2 linked regions of the Oryzias latipes genome follow. The protein of the gene in region 2 interacts with the protein of the main gene of each other region in a pairwise test. Links are inferred from orthologs where the notes say so. Each region holds a gene or a part of one and is shown on either strand. Other genes may lie near its edges. The genes, in order: partitioning defective 6 homolog alpha and prkcz.

The links.
Region 1: the proteins of prkcz (region 2) and partitioning defective 6 homolog alpha interact in binary tests that used the Homo sapiens proteins (3 or more experiments, as listed by UniProt). The link is inferred for Oryzias latipes from reciprocal best matches to the Homo sapiens genes PRKCZ and PARD6A.

Annotation. Positions count from the first base shown.
Region 1 is NC_019864.2:4,759,164-4,763,751, reverse strand, and holds the start of partitioning defective 6 homolog alpha, read right to left. Parts: upstream 2,950-4,588; 5' UTR 2,630-2,949; coding exon 2,561-2,629; intron 1-2,560. Other genes in the region: putative proline-rich protein 21, read left to right, coding at 3,053-4,504. UniProt on the Homo sapiens protein: Adapter protein involved in asymmetrical cell division and cell polarization processes. Probably involved in the formation of epithelial tight junctions.
Region 2 is NC_019865.2:32,864,668-32,869,011, forward strand, and holds the start of prkcz (protein kinase C zeta type), read left to right. Parts: upstream 1-1,338; 5' UTR 1,339-1,550; coding exon 1,551-1,627; intron 1,628-4,344. UniProt on the Homo sapiens protein: Calcium- and diacylglycerol-independent serine/threonine-protein kinase that functions in phosphatidylinositol 3-kinase (PI3K) pathway and mitogen-activated protein (MAP) kinase cascade, and is involved in NF-kappa-B activation, mitogenic signaling, cell proliferation, cell polarity, inflammatory response and maintenance of long-term potentiation (LTP).

The sequences.
Region 1 (4,588 bases), on a different chromosome or scaffold from region 2:
TTGTTCCATTTCCAGCTGCTGAAATCAGCAGACAGCAATGAGACAGACATGTATGGAAGCCTGGAAGGGATGATAAAATCAAGAAACAATGGTTGTTTAATTTTGGATACGATTTGGATGAATTTAGAGGTTATTTCAGATCTTGAACTTGTTAGCTAGTTTATTATATGCTAATATGATTAATTGTGATTCAATATCATGGATTTCAATGGTTAATGGTTATCAATGGCTGTTAGCTGTGCCTCTTCCTGAGATTTCCTGACAGTTTTAGACTTACAGATGTTTTTCAGGTTAGGCTTTGCATGGATTTAAAAACAGAATCAGTGAAGTCTTATCATTCAGATAAGACTGTAGTACTGTGCATAACAAACCCAACAGAACCAATGACCTGCAGAGGGAACGCTGCTGCATACGCCTGTACTTAGATCCCACAGCTGACTGTATGCTCACTGCAAAAAAGACATTTTCCTGAATGTTTTTACTGGCACTTCCCCTCTAGTTCTCTGTCTTCCGTTTTTCCTCATTTCCTTGATTTCCCAGAGAAGTCTATGGAAAATTGTGCTTTGCATGAAAAACACGACAAGCTGGAACAAACTGCATTTGTCATGTAAAGACTTTACAAAAATAATGTGTAAGGAAACACTGAAGCATGGGCAGCTGTTTCTGTGTACACGCTGGAGCCATCTTACTCATCCCAGCTGAGCGTGACGTTGGCACCGTAGATGACGGGCCTGGACTTGGGCAAAAAGCTGTCCTGAATCAGCACAGCCTTCATGAAGAACAAAAACGCTGACAGCTCCTCAGTCGACTCCAAGTTTGCATCTCCTGCTGGAATGAGCCTGCTGTTGCTCATCTGTTAGCAGCCAGCAGATGTGCACCAGCGTGCACGTCTTTATGTACACAGGGATGAAGTTAGTGCAACTGTCCCTCACCTGCGCATGAGAAACAAACAGCCAACATGAAAAGAAAAGCAGAACACATTTGGGCCACATAAGCACAGTTCTTTGGCACTGACAGGTGAGCACAGCGCTGTAAATTCCAGCTGTGAACGCTTTTCTCTGACTTCTACGGCTCTGCAGCTTTTAGGACAACATCTGGCTCTCAAAACATGGACCGACCAAATCCTCATGCCCACAGACGCCTCCAGATGTGCGTGTCATGAGCAGGACGGAGAAGGTCTGCGGAGTCCGCTAGGGGACTGTGTGAACTCGGAAGACCAGATCCTGAGTCCCCTTTATCTCAGTCAGTGTCTTTTCATTCCGAAAACGACACTTTAAATAGAGGACACGTGGCGGGACATCCTGTTCCAAGCTTTCCTCAGAGGATCTGAGGCTGTCTGCTGACCCCTTCAGGACAGAGACAGACCATAATATCAGCACAATGTCATACCAGAGACAGCATCCACCAAAAGGAACAACTTCTCCCTGACTGGACGTCTGGACCCAAAACACACCAGCACCCTGCCGGTGGGAGGGGGTGGGGGGTTCAGCCCAAAGGTTTCAACATTCATATTTTATGAATATGGATTATTTTTGCCATTAAACTGGCTCCTGAACATACCAGCTCACACCCAGCAGTAACAGCTGGAAACAGCCTGACTCTGAAATGTTCCTCATTCATTTACAGACCCCCCCCCCCCCCCCCACACACACACACACAGACGCAGACCTCCATCACTTGCTAAATGTTGACAAGTAAAGCTCTTCAACACGATTTACCTCCAAAGCTTTTACAATCTGACAAAAGGTCTCTTCATTTTTTAAAAGTACAAAGTGTTTAGAAACTGAGATTTAGCCATGAAAAGGAGGAAAGAAAGATCTGTGAAGAAAAATCTGCTGAGCAATGAAAATAAACGGATGAGGGACAAAAAAATAAACGATGAGGGAAAATCCCCCCAAAAGATTAGGAATTTTCTGTTTTTGACTGATGGATAAACAAAGTTTTTACTGGAGTTTTTGCTGTTTTCAGCTCTAATCTCCAATGTTTTAAGGTGACATTTTAATAATAATCAATAACAATAATAATAACATCCTTTCCAAAGTGACAATTAGCAGAACCGTTTCCAAAGTCCAAATTATTTCCATTTACCAAACCGTTATGGAAACCCTGACAAATATTTGATCCTTAAGCATCACAGAGCCAGAGGAAAGTTACCAACCAGAGGTGAAGCTTTTAGAAACTGAATCCCTCATTTCCCTGAAGGTTTCACAGACAAACATCCTCAGACTCTCTCTGTCTGATCCGGCTTCTTTTTTAGTTCCACATGTTTGGTTTTGTTGTTGCTTCTGCTAAAAGAACTCTGTGTGTGTGTGTGTGTGGGGGGGGGGGGTCTCTGCTCATCCACAGAGGCCCCATGTCTGCCTCCATGGGGCTCTGGAATGAGCGGATCCGGCCCTGCTCTACCCGGATGATGCTGAACAGAACCGAGAGCAGAACCGATCCACGCGCCAGATCTCTGTGGATCTGCGGCGCGTGACCGTGAACCGGAGCGGTGGAGGCGCACCGCGCGTTCCGCCGCGGATGCGCCCCACCCTCGGTGCCGTTCCCGCCGCGCACTCACTTTGCTCTTGACCTCCACCACGCTCTCCGCCGCCCGGGTGGGCGTGCGGCTCTGCGACGCTCTGGACATGCTGCTCCGCGGCGGTCCGGTCGGCTGCGGGGAAAAGCGTCCTCCGGGACGGACACGGCTGCTTCCTCCTCTGAACGCCCCAGTCTAACCATGGAGGAGGCGGCGAGAGCGCGCAGCAGGCTTGTCGGTTTCCTGCTCCAGAACCGGTTCGGTCAGCTCCATGTCGTTCGTGTCTGCGCGCGCCCGTCCCCCCAACCAGACGCGCATGCGTGCACGCGCAGATGAACAGCGCAGAGATCGTGACAGGTGGAGTCCGGTAAATCCGGTACCCCCTCCCCCAACCCTACCCCCGACCAGCCCGGAGGACTCAGCGGAGGGGGCGGGACCATGTCGCTGCTGTCTCCGGACGAACCCGACCCCCTCCCGCCGGAGGATTGCAGACAGAGTTCACACCTGCAGCACACCTGAGGCTCAGGCACCGACATGGATGAAACCCAGAACCCAATAACCGACCGCAGAAAGAGCGTCCTGCTCGACCCCTATTCTCACAGTGTATGGACGAAAGGCTCCATGTCTGCAGCAGCACCCAGAGGACCTCCACCCTCCATCCCTCATCCTCCTCCCTTCATCCCCCACCCTTCATCTTCCATCCTCCACCCTCCATCCTCCACCCTCCATCTTTCATCCTCCATCCTTCATCCTCCTCCCTTCATCCCCCACCCTTCATCCTCCACCCTCCATCCTCCACCCTCCATCTTTCATCCTCCATCCTTTATCCTCCATCCTAGGACGAAAGGCTCCATGTCTGCAGCAGCACCCAGAGGACCTCCACCCTCCATCCCTCATCCTCCTCCCTTCATCCCCCACCCTTCATCCTCCATCCTCCACCCTCCATCCTCCACCCTCCATCCTTCATCCTCCATCCTTTATCCCCCACCCTTCATCCCCCACCCTTCATCCTCCACCCTCCATCCTTCATCCTCCATCCTTCATCCTCCATCCTTCATCCCCCACCCTTCATCCTCCACCCTCCATCCTTCATCCTCCATCCTTCATCCTCCATCCTTCATCCCCCACCCTTCATCCTCCACCCTCCATCATCCACCCTCCATCCTTCATCCCCCACCCTTCATCCCCCACCCTTCATCCTCCACCCTTCATCCTCCACCCTCCATCATCCACCCTCCATCCTTCATCCCCCACCCTTCATCCTCCACCCTCCATCCTTCATCCTCCATCCTTCATCCTCCATCCTTCATCCCCCACCCTTCATCCCCCACCCTTCATCCTCCACCCTCCATCCTTCATCCTCCATCCTTCATCCTCCATCCTTCATCCCCCACCCTTCATCCTCCACCCTCCATCATCCACCCTTCATCCTCCATCCTCCACCCTCCATCCTCCACCCTCCATCCTTCATCCTCCATCCTTCATCCTCCATCCTTTATCCCCCACCCTTCACCCTTCATCCCCCACCCTTCATCCTCCATCCTCCACCCTCCATCCTCCACCCTCCATCCTTCATCCCCCACCCTTCATCCTCCATCCTCCACCCTCCATCATCCACCCTCCATCCTTCATCCCCCACCCTTCATCCTCCATCCTCCACCCTCCATCCTCCACCCTCCATCCTTCATCCTCCATCCTTCATCCTCCATCCTTTATCCCCCACCCTTCATCCTCCATCCTCCACCCTCCATCCTCCACCCTCCATCTTTCATCCTCCATCCTTTATCCTCCATCCTAGGACGAAAGGCTCCATGTCTGCAGCAGCACCCAGAGGACCTCCACCATCCTCCTTTCATCCTCCACTCTCCACCCTTCATCCTCCACCCTCCTCCCTTCATCCCCACCCTTCATCCTCCGCCATCCACCCTCCACCCTTCATCCCCCACCCTCCATCCTCCACTTCCATACTTCACCTTCCCTCCTTAGTCCTCCACCCACCATCGTCACCCACCTTCCTCCACCTTGAGGCGTCAGGAGGAGCTCCGTCACGCTGCAGACATGAGGAGAATG
Region 2 (4,344 bases):
GATCCACAACAGCAAGAAACATCAGGTTTGCACATCATTTAAATTACTAGTGTAGTAGATATGATATGTATTTTTATAGTCACAGTGTGAACATAATTTCATGAAATGTATGATAATCCATACTGCCTCAAACATTTATTTATTCACAATATATGTGACTTTTTTAGGATTACAAACACAAAAACATCCACATCCATTACAGAGGCTTCAGTGGATGAAGAGCTGCCCCCTGACCCACTAACTGCCCCTCATGACTGACAGGAATCCAACACATCTGGTTTGCAGAGGAGGAATTCAGGTTCCATCCACATTTGTTTCTCTCAAGAATGAGAATGATAGAGGAAGCTGCCATCAGCAGTACTTCAGATGAACTTTAGTTAGTGGAGGAGAGGAGAAAAAACGTGGTTGGTGTACTTAAAAAAAAGGTTCTCGTGTTTTTGCTGCAGACCTTTTTCCAAAAGGAAAATGAGTTTAACAGACCCTGGATTAATGCCAGTTCTTTGATCACCTCACATGACAATAGATCCTATCCACTGCATGAAAACTAGAAAAGAATTAGATGTGAGGATAAGAAAGCTTAAGCTTATCAAAATGTTCCTAAGATCATCCAAGGCTCAAGATCAGCTACCTGGTCTGGTAGCTCTAATCATCAACCACTGAGAAACTAACAAACCAGGGTTTGACTGATGACTTTGCCCGTATTAATGCAAGACTGACACATTTTTAGTTTAAGAGAAGCAGACCAAGTTCATAGTGTAAGCTATGAGAATTTTTAATTTAATATTATGTATGTAGCCCAATATTAGCAAAGTTGTCTCAATAAGCTTCAAGCTTAAATTGCACTAGTTGTTAATAGATTTTTTACATGGAGGTCATTTCAAGCCTCAAGCAAACATGTGTGTTGTTATCCTTGTAAGACTTATTGTTACTTTTGGTATTTTTTTTCCAACAGTCCTATAAGCTGTACGAATTTACAAGCCTCTGGTTGCTTTTTAAAATAATTGTTAATAGTGAAATATTTGAACCATAAAGTAAACCATAATAAGCTGTTGTACTTTTCTGGGTAGTAACTGGGGGAAACTGAGGGGCGCTACTGGTGTGGCTGCCAGAACCGCCACTCCCGCTGTGGGTCGCAGCGGACCCGCCGCGAGGAGCGGAGCGGGACAGGTGAATTCTGACCCCCGTAACCATAGAGAGCCACAGAAATCTATCAAGCTGCGAAGTGAGCAACCTACAGTTGTGCTTTCAAAATAAAAGCATCGGCCTCTTCCTCAATGCTGCCGCTGCCTATCATAGTTTCAATTTGTCTTATTTTGAAAGTGTGGAGCGGAAATGGCCTAGTAGTTATCGAGAGCTTGACGGCTCCACCGTCTCCGAAGCCTTTAATGTTTCTGCACCGTAAAAAAACTTCAAAACCGCTCCGTTAGTTTTCTTTCCGGAAGTTTCCTCCCGGGTCCGCGCGGGATAGTCGCGCTGAATGCCCCGCAGCGACCCGCAGGTTGGGTTCGTCAAAGTTTGGGCCTGTCCCGGGACTTTCAGCAAACTGCGGGATGGACGCGCTGACGTCGAACGGATCCATCATGGACCTGGCCTCTAAGGTGGTGAAGATAAAAGCGCACTTCCGCGGGTAAGTGACCTCCTCCGGCGCGTGGACACCTGCGGAGCCAAGGCGGCGCGCGGTGTAGCGGGCCGGGCCGGGCCGGGCGCGCGGGCACACCTGCCGCCACAAGAATGAGTAAAACAAAAACACCGTTTCTGACTTTCTCACTGCAGGAAAGTTAAATAAGTCCACAAGTGAAAGCAGTGTGACCTGCTGGTCACCAGAAATATCAGACACTGAAAGGTTTGATGGACTTTCGGTCCCAAAGCCTCCATTCTCCTTCAGTTCGGGACATGAAGGTGAGCGCCGCAGTGGCTGATGGGTGGACTCTGACAGCAGGAACCCCAGAACGGTTCCTTCAAACCTGTCTGAGGAACTGGAGGTTCTTCACCCACGCAGGTCAGAGAACAGGTGGAAGTGAAGCAGAAGGACGTCACTAACCATGATCTAAAGGGAGACACGTGAACGCCTCTCCCAGTGTGTGTTCATCTGAACAAACCAGTAGTTGATAGAAATGAGTTTTATTTTGCTCTAGTTCAGAGGTGAACTTTCATTTCCTGTGTCTCCATTGATCTTTGAGCTTTGAAAACATCCCTCCTTGTGGTTTTAATGAGCTGTAGTTGTTGTGGGACCAGCGGTTGCCGGGGCGACCTGCTGCCTGGACTGAAGTTCATTCTTGCAGTGAGGAGTCCGGCTCTCCCTGTCACCTGAAGCTGAGGGGGAGGAGAGCTATTCTGATGAGGAGAACAAACATGATGAGTCTGGAACTAACCTTTAGCTTTGGTTCTCTATCCCACACATGAGGATTGAACAGGAAGTCTTTAAGCATCTATATTAAAGCAAAACTAATCATTTTAGTTCATATTTGTAATAAATCTTTGTTAATGATCCAAACTATTGACATATTAGATGTTAGATGCTGGCCTCCTATGTAGACAAGGGTCATTTGGACTAGGGCTGGGCGATATGGCCTAAAAATAAAATCTCTGATTTTATACTTTTTAATTCGATTTTAAGATTTTTCCCCCCGATGTCCCCCCCCCCCCCCCCCTTACTTAAGGAAAGCAATAAGTACAAACGGCAGACAACTTAAAGCAAATTTTGCTTTTATCTAATCAAACGCAAGACAAATGTAACCCCCATTTCTGGGATGAATAATAAGTACATGAACACACTCTTGGAATCAAAGTCCCAGCTGGGTTTTAAGTCACACTTTGTAGTCTAGACTAAAAGGAGACAAACATTCACCTTGAGAGTAGCACCATTTTCTAAAGGATTAACATTACAGCTCACATCTGGGATCTAAGGTTTTAATTCAATTAATAAACCCCGTCTTCTCCACGGTATCTATGGGTACCATCTCTTTGGCTATATGCCACCGTGCCCCTTTCATAGGGATGGGTACCGTGCCCCGGTATTGAACGAGCCCCGGGGCAACATTCTTCAAGACTGCAGTATCGTTAAGATCTGACCTCAACGGTTCTGCTATCTGTACTAGAGAAGTCGCATTTTTTCTGTGTCCCACAAGATATAAACAAGAGCTGTGACGGTGTGGGATTTTTTTTTTTTTTTTTTATAACTTTATTTATTGAACATTTTCTGTATTAAACAGACATACAGAGTGTAAAATGAAATGTAAAAAAGGCAATGTGTAAAAATAAACACTCACATGTCAACCCGTCCCACCCACCCCCGTCAACAACCCCCAGAGGCCAAGTCAGACACAAAAAAAATAAATAAATAAATAAAATAAATAAATAAAAAATAAAAAAGTAAATAAATAAAAAACACAAACCACTTGGGCTTTTTTTTTTCTTTTTTTTTAAAATAAGAAATACGTCCAGAAAAAAAAAAAAAAAAAAGAAAAAAAAAAAGGTAATTAAATACGTAGTAATAAGTGAGAAAACCAGGGTAACAGCAGTGGCTTTTTGTTGCACTGGTGCTCAGTCAGCCTCCAGATTGTGAGGAAATGTCAAGGAGTCCACATATTGTAGGAAAGGGCTCCAGGTCTCATGAAACACCCTGAGTGAGCCATGAAGTGAGTACCTAAGCCTCTCAAGTTTGAGATTGTAAAGCACCTCGCGGACCCAGCGGACATGCGAAGGGGGACGGGGGAGCTTCCAGTTCAGCAGGACCAGCCTGCGTGCTAATAGGGTGGTAAATGCAACGGCCCGCTTTAGTGCACTCGGCGTGTCTGAAGTTGGGGGGAGACCAAATATTGCCGACATGGGATTTGGTGTGACGGTGTATCTGTAAGCCCTCGTTAGTGTATCAAATACATCTGTCCAAAGAGCTGCGATCACTGGGCATGACCAAAACATATGGGCATGATTGGCAGGAGAGAGATGGCATCTGCTGCAGGCATCACTAATAGAAGGATAGATTTTGGCCAGTCTGGCATTGGTGTAATGGACCCTATAAACAATCTTACATTGAATCAATCTATGGCGGGCGCAAATAGAGGACAAATGGACAAGAGACAATGCCGACCTCCATTGTTGTTCCGTAATGTTAAGGTTTAGACCGTCTTCCCACGCAGTTTTGACAGTATCGGACGGCTTTGAGGATGCTGTCCAAATTGACTTGTAAACGCTTGAAATGCATCCATTAACAAAAGGGTCTTTGGAGAGAAGAACATCCAGAAGAGTTTCTGGTGGGCGATTTGGAAAATGAGGAAACAGTTTTTTAACATAGTCCCTGATCTGGAAGAAACGGAAGAGATGCTGATTCGGGAGGGCATATTT